3 linked regions of the Canis lupus familiaris genome follow. The protein of the gene in region 2 interacts with the protein of the main gene of each other region in a pairwise test. Links are inferred from orthologs where the notes say so. Each region holds a gene or a part of one and is shown on either strand. Other genes may lie near its edges.

Evidence for each region. The genes of interacting proteins can lie anywhere in the genome.
Region 1: the proteins of CCDC136 (region 2) and KAT5 interact in binary tests that used the Homo sapiens proteins (3 or more experiments, as listed by UniProt). The two-hybrid records come from large-scale screens. The link is inferred for Canis lupus familiaris from reciprocal best matches to the Homo sapiens genes CCDC136 and KAT5.
Region 3: the proteins of CCDC136 (region 2) and CDK2AP1 interact in binary tests that used the Homo sapiens proteins (3 or more experiments, as listed by UniProt). The two-hybrid records come from large-scale screens. The link is inferred for Canis lupus familiaris from reciprocal best matches to the Homo sapiens genes CCDC136 and CDK2AP1.

The regions. Positions count from the first base shown.
Region 1 is NC_049239.1:52,002,340-52,007,412, forward strand, and holds part of KAT5 (histone acetyltransferase KAT5), read right to left. Parts: intron 5,056-5,073; coding exon 4,981-5,055; intron 4,109-4,980; coding exon 3,860-4,108; intron 3,783-3,859; coding exon 3,693-3,782; intron 2,321-3,692; coding exon 2,180-2,320; intron 2,102-2,179; coding exon 2,008-2,101; intron 1,233-2,007; exon of another isoform or gene 273-1,232; coding exon of another isoform or gene 162-272; intron 1-161. Other genes in the region: RNASEH2C (ribonuclease H2 subunit C), read left to right, coding at 162-272. UniProt on the Homo sapiens protein: Catalytic subunit of the NuA4 histone acetyltransferase complex, a multiprotein complex involved in transcriptional activation of select genes principally by acetylation of nucleosomal histones H2A and H4.
Region 2 is NC_049235.1:7,691,746-7,697,669, reverse strand, and holds part of CCDC136 (coiled-coil domain-containing protein 136), read left to right. Parts: coding exon 1-105; intron 106-1,747; coding exon 1,748-1,942; intron 1,943-2,437; coding exon 2,438-2,665; intron 2,666-4,112; coding exon 4,113-4,613; intron 4,614-4,946; coding exon 4,947-5,168; intron 5,169-5,924. UniProt on the Homo sapiens protein: May play a role in acrosome formation in spermatogenesis and in fertilization.
Region 3 is NC_049247.1:6,513,493-6,519,416, forward strand, and holds part of CDK2AP1 (cyclin-dependent kinase 2-associated protein 1), read left to right. Parts: intron 1-2,686; exon of another isoform or gene 2,687-3,015; intron 3,016-3,116; coding exon 3,117-3,214; intron 3,215-3,760; exon of another isoform or gene 3,761-3,913; intron 3,914-4,730; coding exon 4,731-4,857; intron 4,858-5,924. UniProt on the Homo sapiens protein: Inhibitor of cyclin-dependent kinase CDK2. Also acts as a component of the histone deacetylase NuRD complex which participates in the remodeling of chromatin.

The DNA.
Region 1 (5,073 bases), on a different chromosome or scaffold from region 2:
TACAGCAAGGCAGCAAGAAGGGGTGGGTAAGCGATCACACCTTCATGCAACTTTCAGAATATGGTTACAGGAGTAAACTGCCTGGTTCCCATCTCACCCTTGCCATGTGGTAGTTCTGTGACCTGACATACGTAGCTAGTCTGCTGTGTCTGTTTCCCCAGAGAGCTAATGAGCATTCACTCTTCATCTCTGTGCTGTGGAGGGTACTGAAAGGAACAGCTATAATCCACCTGGAGAAAAACTCAGGAACCAGGGAAGTGCAGAGAAAATGACAAGAAAGGCAAGTGCCTGATTTTCATCATTCCAGACCATATCTCCTGGGTATGTGAGAAGGGAAGGCAGCCCCCACGTGTGGTCTGGGCCTCAGGATGTCTGGATTTGCAGTCAAGTCAGTCCCCCTAGCTGTGACCTGGGGAGCATTGGCTGCTCCAGGACCAGGCTGGCCTGACTAGGTGTTGATAAGAAGCAAGGAGAGGCACTAATGTACTTCCCAGGTCAGAAGGCGGCCATTCCACAGCAGGTAACTCACCTCTCCAGAGGCACTCTCCGACTGCTCTGTCCTCCTCTACCCTGCTGATTACTGGGCACTAGCAGGCAGTTCCTAGGGAGCCCCTCAGGCTGTGCAAAATCCTATATGGCTTCGTGTCTCTTGGCAGAGTCTTCATTCTCTCCCTCAGGGTCCTGGGGTGTCCTTCATTACCTCTATAAGCCCTTCTTCACCCTCAGTCACAGCTATGTAGGCTCACAGCCCTTTTTGCCTACCCCTCCCAATCTTTATCAGCTAGTCTTGCCCAATCTTCTGTGACTTCCACCAAGCAGCCTGCTGGGGAGAGGGACAGAAAAGCTCCTGCTTTAGAGAAAGGAAGCCTGGAAGAGGAAGGGAGCACACCTGGGTCCCTACTTGACTTTGCTGGGCCTGCCAGTGCATGTGGGATCCTGCCACATCAGCCTCCCCAGCTGCAAGGAGCTCCTGGCCCCTCCCCAGTGAACATCCACCTGCCCTCAAGAACTGCCCGGAATGGGCACTCCCAGTGCACCTGTCTGCTCCTGCTGGGCAGAAGTGAGCACATCACATTGGTGTCCTTGCCCACATCCTATCTCCATGGAGGTCTGAGCTTCAAGGCTTGGATTCATTTTAAGTATCCGCCCACATATCAGGCTGAGGGCTTCCTGAGAATGTGACCCCATCTTGGCATCATTCTATTAATAAAATAACTCAAATGGATCATGACCTTATCAAGTCAAGCCACTGTGACTTCACCAAACAGCTAAGGCTCCCTCCTGTCTCTCAGGTCAGAACTTAACTATCCCAAGGGTTCAGTGAGTGGTGAGTTGAGTGGAGTGATGTAAGATGCTGGGAAGCAAAAGGGGGCCTTGCGGGTGGGGGACATAGAAGAGTTCACGGATGATGAGGGGCAGAGTCCCTTGTGGGCTTTAAGAGACTGACCTGCCTGAATCCAAGGAGCAGAGACCAAATCCACACAAATCAGTGCTTCCTTATTTTTGCTGAGTTAACATCACTTTAGCATTTTGAGCATCCACTATCTGCAAGGCTCAGGTTACAGCTGGGATAATGAAGCACTGGTCCTCACTCAGGAATTTGTATGGTGGCATATGAAGCACTGGTCCTCACTTAGGAATTTCTATGGTGGCACAGAACCAGGCAGATGAGCAACAGTGGCTCACCTGGTTTCTGCTGATGGCTCCCTGGATGGGAGCATATGAGTCAGATTTGTGAAAAGTTGGGTGGTGCTTAGAACCTCACCCAAGGAAGAGTGAGGAGCTGAAAACCTAGCCCAGACAAGCAGGGTAGTTGCCCTGAGAATGGAGAAAGCCTTGGGAGAGTCCCACCTTTATTTCTGGCCAGCTACCCTGGTGACAGCAGGGTTAACAATCATAGCAACCTAGCTTGTCTACAAGGGAGGCACAATGGCAGCACTGGCACTGAGCCTGGGCCCGCATGTACCCACCCCGGGGCCCCTGGCCGGGAGCAAAGGTACTACTCACTGAACTCGATCAGCAGCTTGCCGTAGCCCCGGCGCTGGTAGGGAGGCAGGGTCAGGATGCAGGCCACATTGTAGTCTTCTGTGGATTCCTTTTCCTGGAAAGGGGAGGAAGGTGAGTGAGGAGGGGACACAGCTCAGGGCAGGGCCAAGAGATGATCTGGATGAGCACTCACCTTGGAGAAGTAGCCGACGATGTGGAAGCCCTTGCAATCATACTCTGTCATGACATAGAAGAGGAAGGGATCTGTATCATAGTACAATGTCTTGTGGTCGAGGAAACACTTGGCCAAAAGACACAGGTTCTGGGAATAACTCTGCAAAGGAAAAGGCGTGTCACCACTCTGGGTACCCTGTCTTAAATGTGGTCATTTGGTTTCTTTACCCAGGGCTGATAGATGATGAGTCTTCCTCCCTGGCACCTGACCCGTTCTATTAGGCTGTCCCTCCTACTCAGGCAGAGCTAATTCTCAGAGTCAAGGAGCCCATGTACCAGCTCTGTGATAGTGTCTGACCTCCTGTCTTGCTGGTGAGCTGGGCAAGTTTACCCCTGTTCCCCATACCTCCCCCTAAGTCTTGTCTGGGGGGTTTCCACTGCTCTCTGCTGCAGTAACAAAAGTCAGTAGGTTGTGGCATGTCTAGAAAGACACTGCCAAGGCTTAGGAGAGGACCTCTACCCTGGTGACAGTCTTAGGAATCTACCTTTTAAAAACCACAAAACTAAAAAAATAAAAATAAAAAAAAATAAAAAATAAAAACCACAAAACTCTCCCGCCTCCAGTCACACATACTGGAGACTGATCTCCTAACCTACAATGGAGATCAGGTGTTCTGAAACTGAAAGTAACTGCCTTAGGGGTCTCCCCACCAAAAGGATTCATCTTGCTGCTTTGCTTTACCTCTATACACATTTTCTGCATATGAGGCATGACTTTTTAGCCAGATGCTGGGCCATCAGGATGCCCAAGTCCACACAGAACAGTAGTGAAAGCAGCCTCCTTCCCTTGAGCTTCCTCAGCACCCAGGCCAGAGCTCTACCCTGTAATTCAAGATGCCCTGCTTCTCCCTTACTGCCCCCTCTTTGCCCCAGGAATGGTCCCACAGTCTTAACGGTCCAGATTACTCCCTTCTTCCTTCCCACAGACTAAGGCAGGTTTGAAGCCCAAAACCTGCAGTGACCCCTACTCCTCCCCCAACTGGCCACCTTCTCCCCACCTGAGCTCTGTATCTTGGAACAGCCTTGCCTCATCCTCTCTGCTTCTCAGCCAGAATGATCTTTACCTTTCCCACCATCTGTACATCCACGACTGCCCTTCAGAACCCCACTCCTTGGGCTTCCCTTACCTATCTTATCCTTCATGTTAAGGATCAAAGATCATCTCCTATGTGAAACTGCTGGCTACCTCTGGGTCCTGATAACCCATCCTTTGTTTCATGACACTTATCCCTGGGATCTGAGTGGATGTTGGCAGATCTGTTTTTGCCATGAACTGTGAACTCAAAGATTCTAATTACTGGTCATCTTTATACCTCCCACTAACTACCTCACAGCAGAAACTCAATAAAAATGGAATGAGCTAATCTGTTGGCCAGACTGCCTAGTATTTTCCTGAGCAGGAAAAAGCTGCTCGTTTAACTTCCCCCAGACCACCAGTGCCAATGACTCCCCACTGCCCCTCAGCCACAGACCTTGTTCTTCCGTCCATCAATCTCAAAGAAAGAGATGGTACCCTTGCGGTAAATCTCATTGCCTGGGGGGTGTCGCAGGTCACACTTGGTCTGAGGAAGAGAGGAGGATCAGAGGCAGGGACAGGGTGGGGGATGGTAGTAAAGCAACCTCCTTGGACCCTTCATACCAAGTGACGCTGCAGACACTTGAGACTACGGCCGTATTTGAGGCAGAACTCGCAGAGGTAGAGGACGGGCAATGTGGTAAGTTCCTGTGGGTATGGGGAGAAGTACCACGGCTTCAGGCGGTGCCGGCCCAGCTCGATACACTCAATGTTCTTCATCCGGGTGACAATGTCGTCGTGGCTGCGGTCAGACACCAAGCTGCCAGTCATGCGTGGAGCGGACGGTATTCCATCTGAGCTGTCCTGGGAATCCTGCCCAGGCCCAGTGGAAAACACCAGGTTACAGAAGACAGCTCAAGCAGGACACCCGACAGCTCACACAACCCTTACATAGCTTTCCTTATTTTCAAAGTGTAACAACAACTCTATGGCAGAGGAAGAAAAAGGCTGGTACTACATTGTATTCCCCACTTTCCAGATAAGGGAAGGGAAACTAGGTAAATTATCAATTGCACTTTGAAAAAGATCACCAATGACTGATCTGAATCAGCTTTGCCTGGCTCCTAATCCTGCCAAAAACCATCACTGCCTACCACCTCTTGTTTATTTTTTTAAGTTTACTTATTTATGTATTTTTAAAGTTTTTTTTTTTCTTTAAGATTTTATTTATTCATGAGACAGAGAGACAAGCAGAGACATAGGCAGAGGGAGAAGCAGGCTCCATGTAGGGAGCCCGACATGGGACTTGATGCCGGTCTCCAGGATCACACCCTGGGCTGAAGACAGTGCTAAACCGCTGAGCCACTCGGGCTGCCCTATTTTTAAAGATTTTATTTATTTATTCATGACAGACACAGAGAGAGAGAGGCAGACACACAGGCAGTGGGAGAAGCGGGCTCCATGCAGGGAACCCGACGTGGGACTCGATCCTGGGTCTCCAGGGTCATACCGCGGGATAAAGGCGGCGCCAAACCGCTGGGCCATCGGGACTGCCCGAGTTTATTTATTTTTTAATAATCTCCACCCAAGGTGGGGCTCGAACTCACAACCCCAAGATCGAGAGTGGCATACTCTTCTGACTCAGCCAGGTGCCCCTTCTTGTTTATTTTTAAACCCATCAGTAAACTCTCTGTGCTACCTATATTTCCTCCTTTTCACCTAGCTTCCCTCTTCCTCAGACCTACCTCGTCAGTGCCCAAGCAATTTGATTTTCGCTTCCGTCCTGGCTGAGCTGCCACTGCCCTACGGGCCGATCCATTCTGTAGGTAAAATAATGA
Region 2 (5,924 bases):
ATGTATGATCAGCTCGAGCAGGACCTCCTGCTTTGCCAGCAGGAGCTGAAGGAGCTCAAGACCACCCAGTCCATCCCAGAAGACAAAGGGAAATGTGCTAATAAGGTAATTGTAATTAAGAGAGGTGAGGTCTCCTGGGTACTTCCTCTGGAAAAAGGAGGTATAAGGGCAACAGGTGCAGTCATCCAACCAAGGGGCTTGATGAGCTCCCTGTCCGTCCAGTCACAGCTGGGTGTGCAAGTCAGGAAACAGAAGAAGAGTCCCATGCTATTTACTTTTAAACAGTTTGCCTTGATCTTGATTTTGAGCCCAAGCCACGGCCTAATAGGATCAGTGCAGCTGCATCCAGTCTGAACACCTGAGGGTTTTGCATGTGATTCCATATGTGTAGACACTTAGACCTTGTTATTAGAACTTATAGTGATATCTTGTAATTTGCAGAGAACATACAGAAAAGCCCACATGTGCAACTTTTATCATTAGACCTAGAAAGAGAAGGTCCAGTTTTCTCAGGCAGATTGCAGATGCTCTTGTCAGGTGATGTGGTCTTGTGCAACTAGACCAGGGTGCTGATTGGATATTAGAAGGACCTAGGCTCTTCTAAGGTTTCCTCTGTGACTTCAGAATAGAGAAGTTCTCTAAGCTTGAGTTTTACCCTCTTTAAATTGAACAGAATACTATTCCCTTCTTACTTGCTTTTAATAATAAATCCTGGTAGTGATAAGTGAGGCTTTCCTTATTTTCTTTTTTTCCATAGTGTATAAAATGCAAGTCATTATCAGTTATCCTTAGACCTTGTGTTGAGCACTTTCAGCTCCTGATCACTGATAGGAAATGGAAGATGTTGAAACATGATGGAGAAAAGGCACGAGATTCTCAAAGTATGGTAGAGCAAGTCACCTTTTGCCGGAATACTCAGTGGCTCCTATCACAGCCAGCAGCAGGCTGTGTCCCCAGGGAAAAGCCTTTGGAAGACCCAGAATGGGGAGCTTATCTGGACCACCCCAATGGTCCACCTGCCTCTCTATGCCCAGGTTCACATTTTCTTCTTCCATTCCCACTCAGTCTAGAGGCCAGAGTGTCTATGACTTGCTCACCCTCTCCTCTCCTAGTAGAAGAGACTACAGAGAGGGAGCCAGCTCGCTGACACAGAGCCAGCTTTTCCTCTTGTCCTAAAACAGCATTGAGATGAATTCGATATTAGAAGGTTTGGTTTCATGGAATCATGGGATAATTTAGTCTTTTCAATCCAAATTCAGCAGTAGCCCATATTTTTCTAGATATTTAAAAAAATGATAATGAAAACAAAAATGGGGACAAATCGGGTGGAGTTTTTATTGGTAAGAAGTATAATTAGGTATAAAACCAACTGGGGTTGGTAACAGTGACAGGAACCAGAACTCCCAGCAGGGCAGGAGAATGATCTTTACCAAAGGGAAGGGCCAAAGGAAAGGAAGGTGGGGACCTGAGAAGGGAGGGGTGTTGTTAACACTCCCTTCACAGGGCTCTCAGAAGGGGCCAGAAGACGAAATTTACAGCATAACCGGACAGTCCTGAGCAGCCTGCTGGGGTTTCCCATTTGGTGTCTAAACCCTCACGGGTGCAGCATGGCTTGGGACTGTCAGTCCAAGGGGACCATACAGGGAGGGAGCCTCTGGTGAACCACAAGATGCAGGAGAGCACAGAAGGGCTCTGCTTGCTGGACAGTGCAGAGAAATGCCTCACAGAGTAACCACCCCCTCCACAGTGTGACACACTGCTGTCCAGACTCACAGAATTGCAGGAAAAGTACAAGGCCAGCCAGAAGGAGATGGCGCAGCTGCAGATGGAGCAGTGTGAGCTCCTGGAGGATCAGAGGAGGATGCAGGAGGAGCAGGGGCAGCTGCAGGAAGAGCTGCACAGGCTCACGTTCCCACTGCCCAAAACTGGTCTCATCCCTAAGGTAACCCCAGCCAGGGAATGGCTGCTGACTAGGGAGAAGCTGCTTCGAGAAGCTTCTGAGGTGTGACTATACTTGGGGAAAAGATCAGGGTGGGGATCAAACCTTTTCTCAGTCAGCCATGGCTTACTTTGGTCACTGACTCTTCAAACCAAAAAATTGAGTATAGCTGAGTAGGTTTTAAATCTTAAAATACATATTGTACTCTGGAACCTGCCCAGCATTTTCTCCTTAGATTTTTAGTCCAACTGGATAAAATATACTCTGAGAGAACTTTGTAAACTACAGAATGCCTGCACCATACGAGATCATGACTACTCACCTAGCAGGTCTCCACAGAAGGACCACTCCCCCACCACACCAACCCCATCCCAGATGGCTGTTCAGAGCCAACCCAGAGACTCCTAAGGGAAGGGTCCCCAGCAGGAAGGAGGAGGCATGGGTCTTCTATGTAGCTACCACGGTTCCTGCCTGCTTCCTTCCCACTCCACCTTACAGAGTCAGGAGCTACTTACAAAGTTACAAGACCTGTGTGAACTACAGCTGCTCTACCAAGGTATGCAGGAAGAGCAGAAAAAACTGGTGCAGAATCAAGAGTGTGTGCTCAAAGAACAGTCAGAGCTGCATGAGGAGCTGCATCATTTCAAAGAGTCTCGTTTCCGGGATGTGTTGGAGAAGCCCGATGATTCCAAATCACCTAAGTCCTCCAAGTGTGGTCAGAACAAGGTAACCAGAACAAGAGGTGGGGAGACAGTTCCTGGGACAGCAGCATGGTAGGGAAGAGGTCTCCATGGAAGGGTCAAAGTCAGGAAGGCCTGTCTGGCCAAGTGTAAGAATGAGCCTGAGGCCCCCTCCTTCAGCCGTGCCCACCCACAGGCTCATTAAGATGTGGCTTTAGCTATGGCCTGAGGACCTCAATCAGGTACATGCTCAGTTGAAGTGCTGTGAACACTGAGAACTGGGGGTAACCCAGGAATCTAATCACTTGATAATTTGATGCAGCCCCTTCAACATCATTTTCCAGATTTAAAGTATCAATTTAGTGTTTGTCTGGATTCCTTGGGACTGACTCTGAGCATGTCATTCCTTTCTCATGAGCTGGTTGATAATTGAGCAGTATACTTTCCAGTGATCAAAATCTATCACTTTTTGGTGTTCTACCTGCCACAAATCTGGGGCCATTCATTTCCAAGGGAAGAATTCCTAGCATGTGGCATTCTTGGTACTGACCACATTATCTTCATTGGAACTTTGGTGGCAGTAAGAGCCATGTGATGGGGGTTAGACTAGAGAATCCATGCATCTCAAACACCAAGAAGGGGCCATGCCTCTGAGGTCACACTGGTGGAGACTTCTGCACAAGTCTCTTCAGGATTAAGGGATGCCTTTGGTCTGAGGTCTCAGGGTGAGCAGGGAAGAGCAGGTAGAGAGTTCCAATTTAGGCTAGCCCTATTCATTCAGATATTAGCCTAGATAGGGAGAACCAGGAAATTGCAGAAGTCCAAACAGATTTGGTCAGATTCCAAGGGCATCAGATTTCAGCATGGATAACACTGACCAGGAACCAGGTATAACTATTTCTTTAACTGATCAGATCTCACCCTGGGCATTAGCAGCCAAGAAGCCAGGCGCAGAGGGCCTGGGAAACATGCCCAGAGGCCAGATTCAGAATTGGGACAGGAGGTACAGGGACTTGTAGTGAGACCTTAATTCCAGGTCCACATCTTCTGAAGGAGGAATTCTTGTAGGCTCACATTGCTCACATTCAAGGCCAGGGCTGATTTTAGAATTGGGAATAGGGGAGGGGACTGAGCCCCAGGGTTAGGATATAATGGGTATATCCTGACTGAGAAGACGGGAGGGGAGGGAGGCAGAGTGTTCTTGATACTGACTCAGCTCTGCTGCATGGAGAGACGGATGTACCAGAGTTTAGAAACCAGCAGGAACGGGAGCCTGGGAACCATAAAATATCTGCCCTGGGAAGATTATCCCCAGTGTGAGAAACTGACATGTGCCAGTAGCTGCAGGCTGTTAAAGACCTAGGCCATGGTGAAATGAGTGTAGGTGTACGGGTCCCTGAAGTGCATCTCAGACATCTGTCCCAGGAAGGGTGCAGCTAGAAGGATGGCAGTATCTGGAGTGTTAGTAATGTCTCCCCACCCACTCCCGGCAGTCCAAGATGATCATCGCCCAGATTCAGGCTCTGCAGGTGCTGTATGAGGGGACTCAGACCGAGCAGGAGCTACTGCAGCAGGAGCAGGGAAGGCTCCTCGAGGAGCGGAAGAGGCTGCAGGCCGACCTACAGCTCTGCCTGGAAGAAATGCAGCTGCTCCAGGGCCAGTCCCCTTCCATAAAAATGAGCCTGGAGTCCTACAAGACCTACGGCGATATGGCGACTGTCAACGAGAACTGTCGCCGGAGTTATAGTAGCATTGATGACAGTGAGAGCTATCACAAGAGTTTTGGGAGCACTCAGGCCAGCAATGAGAGCTTTCTCAAGAGCTATGACAGCGGCTCCAGTGCCCATGAGAACTTTGAGAAGAGTTATTGCAGCAGCAGCAGCAGCAGCGTTACCTATAAGAAGAGTTACGGCAGCAGTAGTAGTTCTGACACCTGTTACAAGAGTTACATCAGCAGCACTGACGATGAGCTTGCTGGGCCTGAAGATACAGAGGTAAAAGTAGCCAAAGGAGAGGTCAGCCAGGGAGAGAAGTTTCTTGTCTTACTAAGAGATAAGTCACCAGTGAAGGGTGCAAGAAGTGAGGTGGGCAGCGGGGTCAGGGCTGAGCTGGGTCACTGGAAATGAACAAGGCACTCCACCTGTCTAATATGGAGATGCTCCCATCACAGCGATGGTGCTTTATGGGAGGAAATACAGAATTAGCCCCTGGGCAGCTTCAGATCCTTGCCGCCATTGTTCTGTACCCAGGTAAGGGCCTAGCAAAGAGAGTGGGGCGGAGGGCAGGTCCTCCCCTGGGTGCGGTCATTACTCCTCCACCCTCCGCAGCACTGTGAGGACATGGTTGCCAAGGTGGTGATCAAGCTGCAGGGGGTGCAGGCCATGTACCAGCTCAGCCAGGAGGAACATGATCGGCTGCAAGAGCAGATGAAAAAGCTGCTGGACAGGCAGAAAGAGCTGAAGGAAGAGCTGGACGCCTGTGAAAAGGAATTCAAGGAGTGCATAGAAAGCCTTGAGAAGCCCACTGCCTCCCCAAACGACAAGAATGAGGTAACTGCTATCTAGGAGGCCAGGTTTCTTCTAGGAATTCCTAGAGCCAGAGGAGGTCATAGGTCACAGCCATTTTGGAGAGACTGAGGAAAGAGGGCTGGGAGCTCACTGCTTGCTCTGCATAGTCGCCCCCTTCCTGGTCAGAGGAGCAGAGCAGGAGCTGCAGCCCATCAGCCCTGATGGACACTGCTCAGTGCTCACTGTGCTGAGAGTTACTCATCATCAAAACTCTGAATAGCTTTTCTCTTTGTCCTTTTACCATCTCTCTCCTTTGTAGGTCCCAGAACACTTCTGTGGAGTTGTATTTTTTCACCTTTAGTTATTTGGGGTCTCTTCAGCTAGATTGTGAGCACCTTGAGGATAGAGGCTTGCCTCCTTTCAGATCTCATTATGCCAAGAAGGGTGCTGTGCATCTGTGAGGGATGGGACAGAAGGCAGTCTTTCTAAACCCAGGAGTAGTCCACAGTCCAGCAGAGCTCACCATGTGCACACAGGAGAGTTCAGAGAGCAGCCAGCACGTGGGCCTAGGTTGCTTAGTATTGGTACCTACCAGGGCAACCAGAAGTGATGCCAGAAGTCAGGAAAGACAAAACCAGAAATTAGAGAGCAGCATTGGAATTTGCCTATGTTTCCAGGGTGAGGTGTAGGAGTCCAGGCACGCTCTCAGGAGTGGACCACACGGTTCCTTAGGTAGTTAATAGAGAAATAGCTTGGGCAAAGTAAGAGTTTCCATCAGAAAGATTATCTGTAATAAAG
Region 3 (5,924 bases), on a different chromosome or scaffold from region 2:
TTTGTGGCCCAGGTAGGATTTCTCCTTGCCTGCTTCATCTGTCTCTGAGGTGGGCAGAGTGGAAGGTCTTCCTGCCAGCCTGGACACGCTGGAGATCTCAGGCCTGGCCTGGTATAGTGGAGGCAGGTGCCCTACGCTGGGACCTTTGGGGATTGGGGTCAAGTGACAGGGGCACCCACTCAGGACCCCTGAAGCCCTGTTCTGGCTGGCTGGCACCTGCGCATGGGTTTTCTTCTATGGTGATTTCCAGGAGTACTGCTGAGGTCCCCAGAAGCTGGTGGGTTTTTTGGAGGGGGGCTGTGCCCCTCCCCACGGACCCTTTACAAAGCCCCAATCTCCCCCTGCCATTTGCATCCAAGATGGACTCTGCGCTGCCGCTCCTCAGGCTTCCTTGTCATCATCCCTCACGCCCTCCAGCCCTGCCTCCTGCTCGCGGGTTGCCAAGCCGCGGCCTGGCCGGCGGTGGCAGTGGCGGAGTTAGACAAAGCCCCCGCCTCCCCGCCGGAGAGCACACCCCCCCCCAGGCGCCCCAAGTGGCGGGAAGGCCGCCAGCTCCCCAGGCCCAGGCCGCTCTTTGTCTGGCGTGGGGGCGGGGAGCTGCGCCTGGCCCCAGGAGCTGCTGGCCTCTGCCAATCCCTCCCTCGGCTCGGGCCCTCCCTGGTCCCTGCACACTGCGTGCATTGTCTGTGATGCTCAGAGACTGTCGTGCTCACGCCCAGTCTGGTTTTCTCCCTGGCCTCCTGCAGCCTCATGCTCTGGCCCTCCCTGTGTCTGCCGAAGTGCGTGGGCATGAGTAGAACTCAGGGCCCTTCTGCCATCTCTCTCCAGGGCCACATCTCCCCCCCGCCTTTTCAACAAAGAGTAAGGGACTGGCACTGACACGGAATTGGGGTCACCTACCACATCACATGGTGATGGGAAAGGCAAGCCCCGAGCTATTACCCGACCCAAACCAGGAGATTTCTCCTCCCTCTCCCTTGGCCTCGCAAGACCTAACCCTTGCCCCATGGAAGAGTGGGATGTAGGCCTTTAGACATTGTGTTGGGAATCATTGCCCCAAACAGATAGAGAAACTGAGGCCCAGAGAGGGAAGGGCCTCATCCAAGGTCACACAGCCAGGAGTGGCACAGCCAGACCGCCTTCTGGTCCACGCCCTTGTCTGTAGGAGCTCAGATGGATGGGACTGGGAGGCAGGGAGGCAAGAAACCATGACAAGCAACAAGAGGTGAGGGCTAAGGATGGTGCAGGGAATGCACTCCTGAGTCCTGCTCCCCTCCTGCCTAGGAACTGGAATCTCCTAGACACTTTGGTGCTGTGCAGGGCTGCATACTCCTCCCCTGGTCTTGCATTCAGCAGCCTGGCCTTCCAGAGAGGTGTGATATCTTGGAGTGGTCAGGACTGGAACCCAGGTCTGGGGCTGCAAAGACCACATTCACTGCCCTCATCACAAGGTGCAGGGAGTTGGGGTCTGGCCGCTGTGGTGAGGGGTGCTTGGGGGGGCACCCACCCTGCTCCGTTCCTGTGCTCTGGCCACTGCACATCTGAGGTTGTTTTGGAGGGAGGTCACAGATGTGTTCCCAGTTCCTCCCCATGCTGACCAGTCTGCCCCTGCAGCACAGGTATATTCCCGTCCCCACTTCAAGGCCTGCTGTCTGTGCCTCAGAGTGCCCCAGGGGTGTGCCCACCTCCCAACTGGCAAAATCCAGTTGCCTCCCAGCTGGCAAAATCCCTGTTCCTGGCTGGGCACTCCCTATTTGATCCTAAACCTGGGCTCTGGGTTGGAGTGGGGGGAGGTGAGATCCATGACAGGCCCCGAAAGAAAGCAAGGAAGACATCTTGGGTACGAGCTGTCCCCAGCTCCTGGACAGAGGGATGGCTGTCGGGGTGCTAGCCTCTTCTGTGCCATGTGGCTCAGGGGAACACCCACCCTCGCCAGACTGTGTCTTTACAGTGAGGGGCTCCAGGGCTCCCCTAGGGCCCTTCCACTCCACCAGCCTGAGCTCCCGAGCCTCCTCCCTCCTTTTCCCCTCCCCTGCTCACACCAGATGAGCAGCTGGTCGGTTTGGCCAGCCTGGCACCAGCTGTCCATCCCCAGGGCCAAGTCTGCGTAGTCTGCCGTGTGCATGAGAGACCGTTTGGCTCTGGGGGCGGCAGGCAGAGGGGGAGCTGCTCCTCGACTGGGCGTGGAGGCAGGCGGGCGGCTGCTGAGGAGGGCTAGGTAAATTCTCCATGGTTACCGCTGTTTGTAATTCTGCAGGACATCCTCTACCCGCTAATGGCCACTTGGACGCCATTATGGGTCTGCAGGCTTCCAGCTACTGAGCTGGAGCCGGGAAATGCCCTGCTGGTGACTCCCCACCCCCATCCAAGAGACTCCATTCTTAGCCGGGCCCTGTCCCCATATGGTCCCTCACAGCTGAGGGACGGTGTGTCTGAGTGCAGTCCCTAAGCGGGGCCTTAGCCCTCCCCTCTTTGGATGTGATCCATCCAGGCGTAGAATCCGACAGTCGCCTCTTTGGAGGGCTGTAGAATCCCGTCGCCTCTTTGGAGGGGCTCAGGGAGATTGAGAGGCTCCTGAGGACCCCCCAGAGAGACTGATATATTTCAGATTCCTGACTTCGTGTCCAGTGAACCAATCTCTGGCCAGGGTTAGGTCTCAGATGCTCTGAACGCCCTGTCTTCTTACCGTATGCCTGGCAGAGATTTGGGCGGAGAGGATATGGAGCAGCCTCAGTAGCAGGTGGGCTCTTGTGGCAGTGATTTGGGTCCAGGTCATCCATCTCTGGGGAACGGGACCCCGAGAGAAGGGACTAGCAAGGATTAGGCCAAGAACAGCAGTAGACTTCATCGTTGCTACCAGTCCAGACTGCGCAGATGGGGAGGAGTTCTGTGATTGATGAGCGATGTCTGCCGTGATGGTGGATATGAAGAGCAGTGACCTGTTAGCTCCCTTTTACTATTGTCTGGGCTGAGCATCGGCCATCACCAAACAGAGGACAGGAGAGGGTCTCCGTCCTATGAAGACGAAAGGCTGCTGTTTGTTGTGGGTCCCAGGCAGGGGGTCTCTGCTCTGTGTACAACTATATGATCCCTGATGCTTTGGTTCTCCTCCACAGCTGGGAGTGTCCACCCGCCCTCCACCAGTATGGCCACATCCTCCCAGTACCGCCAGCTGCTGAGTGACTACGGGCCACCATCTCTAGGTTATACCCAGGTACAGCCTTGGGCGGGGATTGGGGGGCTCTGGGGCTGGTCTGGGCATGGAGGGGACATGCTTCTCACCCTCCAGGGAGGGGAGAGAGCTGGTGAGAACAACCAAGGAGTAGAGGTGATGGGATGAAACAGTGTCTGAACTTCCTGAAGCTCCGGCCCTGGGTGGTACATATTCAAGCCTTGAGGCATCAGAACAGAGGAGTGGCAGGGTGTTTCATGGGGACACCAAGAGATGGGGGACAGGGAGACCTGAGTGCCACAGGTCCTGTTGGGGCCACCACCCACATGTGTCCCTATGGTGGGGGGTGACGGGAGTCTCTGTACCGCATTCCTGAGGAAGTAAGGCCTGACCTGGGCCCTGGATCTGAGCCGGGGCAGAGGAGAGGGGAGCCCCGTTCCCACTCACTCCCCACAAGGTCACCACCCCAGCATAGAGGGGGACAGGACCCATCTCTTCCGGAGCCCAGATGGGCTTTGTCAGGAACTGGTGGCCCTGGAGCCAAGCTGCAGGGGGACTCTATACGGTTCTGCTACCTACAAGACTGACCCCTGCTTGGCAGCCTTGCAGAGATCTGTTCCTCACTGGCAAGTGGGGTCGGCACTGGCCCTGGCCTTACTGCCTGTCACGGGTGGAGGGACCCGGCCAGGCCCCCGCCTCAGTGCCTGCCAGCCTGTCCTGGGGTTCTCTGCCACAATTGGAACGTGGCCACCTTCTGAGGTTGCCATGGAGGCTGTCTCTGGGAGTGGGGGATGGCTGGCCATGCCCCACCAGGCCCTGCTGTCCCAGGAGCGGGAGCGCCAGAAGAAGCAGCGGTGGCGGGAAGACCACCAGGCCAAGAGGCGGCACTGGGAGGGCACTGAGGAGCTGGGCAAGGACAGGAGAAAGGCCCTGGAGGCCAGGAGACAGCGGCAACAGAGGAGGAAGGAGCAGGCGAGGGCCTTGTGGGGGGGCTGCGGGGACCCAGCCTCACTCATTGGGTGCATACTTGGGCCGTGGAGGGGGAGGGCTTATAGAAAAACAGGTTTTTTGGGGTGGGCCCTGCTGGCAGGGGGAGGATGGGTAAGTGGAAACACATTCTGTCCAGATGGTCTTTGGCAATTATTTATAGTTCTCCAGACCCCACGGTATGGCCCACAGCTTGTCCACTGTCATTCCCCTGGGATGGTGCATCCACCTGGATCCTAGGAAGCACCCAGTACTTGCTGAGACAAACCAGTCCTTTTACTCATTTAAGATGATTAAAACCTTCTGGAGGCTGCTAGTGGTTTCCTTGAGTGTAGGAGGACAGTAGAAAGGCCCAGGTTTCTGGTCAGTGGTTATTTCTCAGCGTGTGGCCGGTTCCAGCAGAGGCAGAAGCTCTGGGAACCTAGGCCAGGCTGCCCTGCCTCCAGCCACTGCCTCTCGGTGGGCTTCTCCCTGTGCCCTGCCCTCGCTGTGGCTGGCATGTGGTAGGGTCCTGACCGTGGCCTTAGGATCAGGATAGGGTTCAATCCATTTAAACTTCTTCTGATTTTAGGGAACTGGGAACAGCCAGGTACCCCAAAGCAAATATGCTGAGCTGCTGGCCATCATTGAAGAGTTGGGGAAAGAGATTAGACCCACCTATGCAGGGAGCAAGAGCGCCATGGAGAGACTAAAACGAGGTAAGTAGCGGGATCCAGACACCCCCTGCTGGGTGCTGCCTCCCTGCTGGGTGCTAACTGTTGTGAGAGGTTTCCAGAGGGGGGCGTGAATGCTCTATGCCCCGTGGGGCTCCTGTTTGGTTAATCTGTGGAAGCATCAGCAGGGGCAGGAATGGGCCGGTCATGGGGTGTAGACTGTCCTTGGGATCTGACGGGAAGGCTTTGCGTGCTCCTTGGGAAGGTCCATGGGCTTTAAGAACAGAATCTTTACAGGCCAGATCCTGTAGCTTTCTCTGTTGCTTGCTCTGCTCCTGTTGGCTGGTACTGGTCCCAGGGAGCCGCAGGAGGACAAATGCACCAGGCTTCCTTCTCTGAGTGGGTCAGGGACAAGAAGTAGCCAGGTCCTGGGTCCTGTGTTGCCCTCTGTTGTCAGCTCTTTGGAGCGGAGCCCAAGAGGCCAATGGGTCTATCTTAGTCTGGGAAGGGAGAGCAGGAACACTGAAATTCCTTCATGATTGAGGATGGAAGGGGGGGTAGGAATATGGTGTCACAGAAAACCAGTGACTCATGTGAAGATGTGACTGACCAGCTGATTCCAGGGGGAGGTGAAATCGGCTGCTACCTCAGGAAGTAAATGGGGTGGAGGGAAGAAGATGATTTCTGTTTTAGAAGGTGGCAATTCGGAGCAGCAGTGGCCTAGGTACGAATTTAATTTCAGAAAGGATCTGGCGTTTATTCAGAAGTTTGGAGAGGCAAGTCTGAAGTTAACCTGGGATGTAAAGAGGGGCTGCTGCGGAGGCTGTGACCCTACCGTGGTAGGCAAGGCTCCTGCCCATAGCAGTGGGCTTTGCTGCTGTTTACCAAGCTTTCATGGACAGATTGGCTGGCTGGCCGGGTGCTTTTACTCCTTTTACTGAGGAAGTAAGGCCTGACCTGGGGGAGGGGAGCTGACAGAGGCTGGACCCCGAGAGGGCTTGATAGAGGTGGGGTTAACCCCGACCCACCCCTGGGGGGCCGGTGGGCGTCACTCTGCATCTGGGCTGCTGTTTGGAGTCAGGGGAAGCAAGACAGTCCTGGCACCTGGAGTC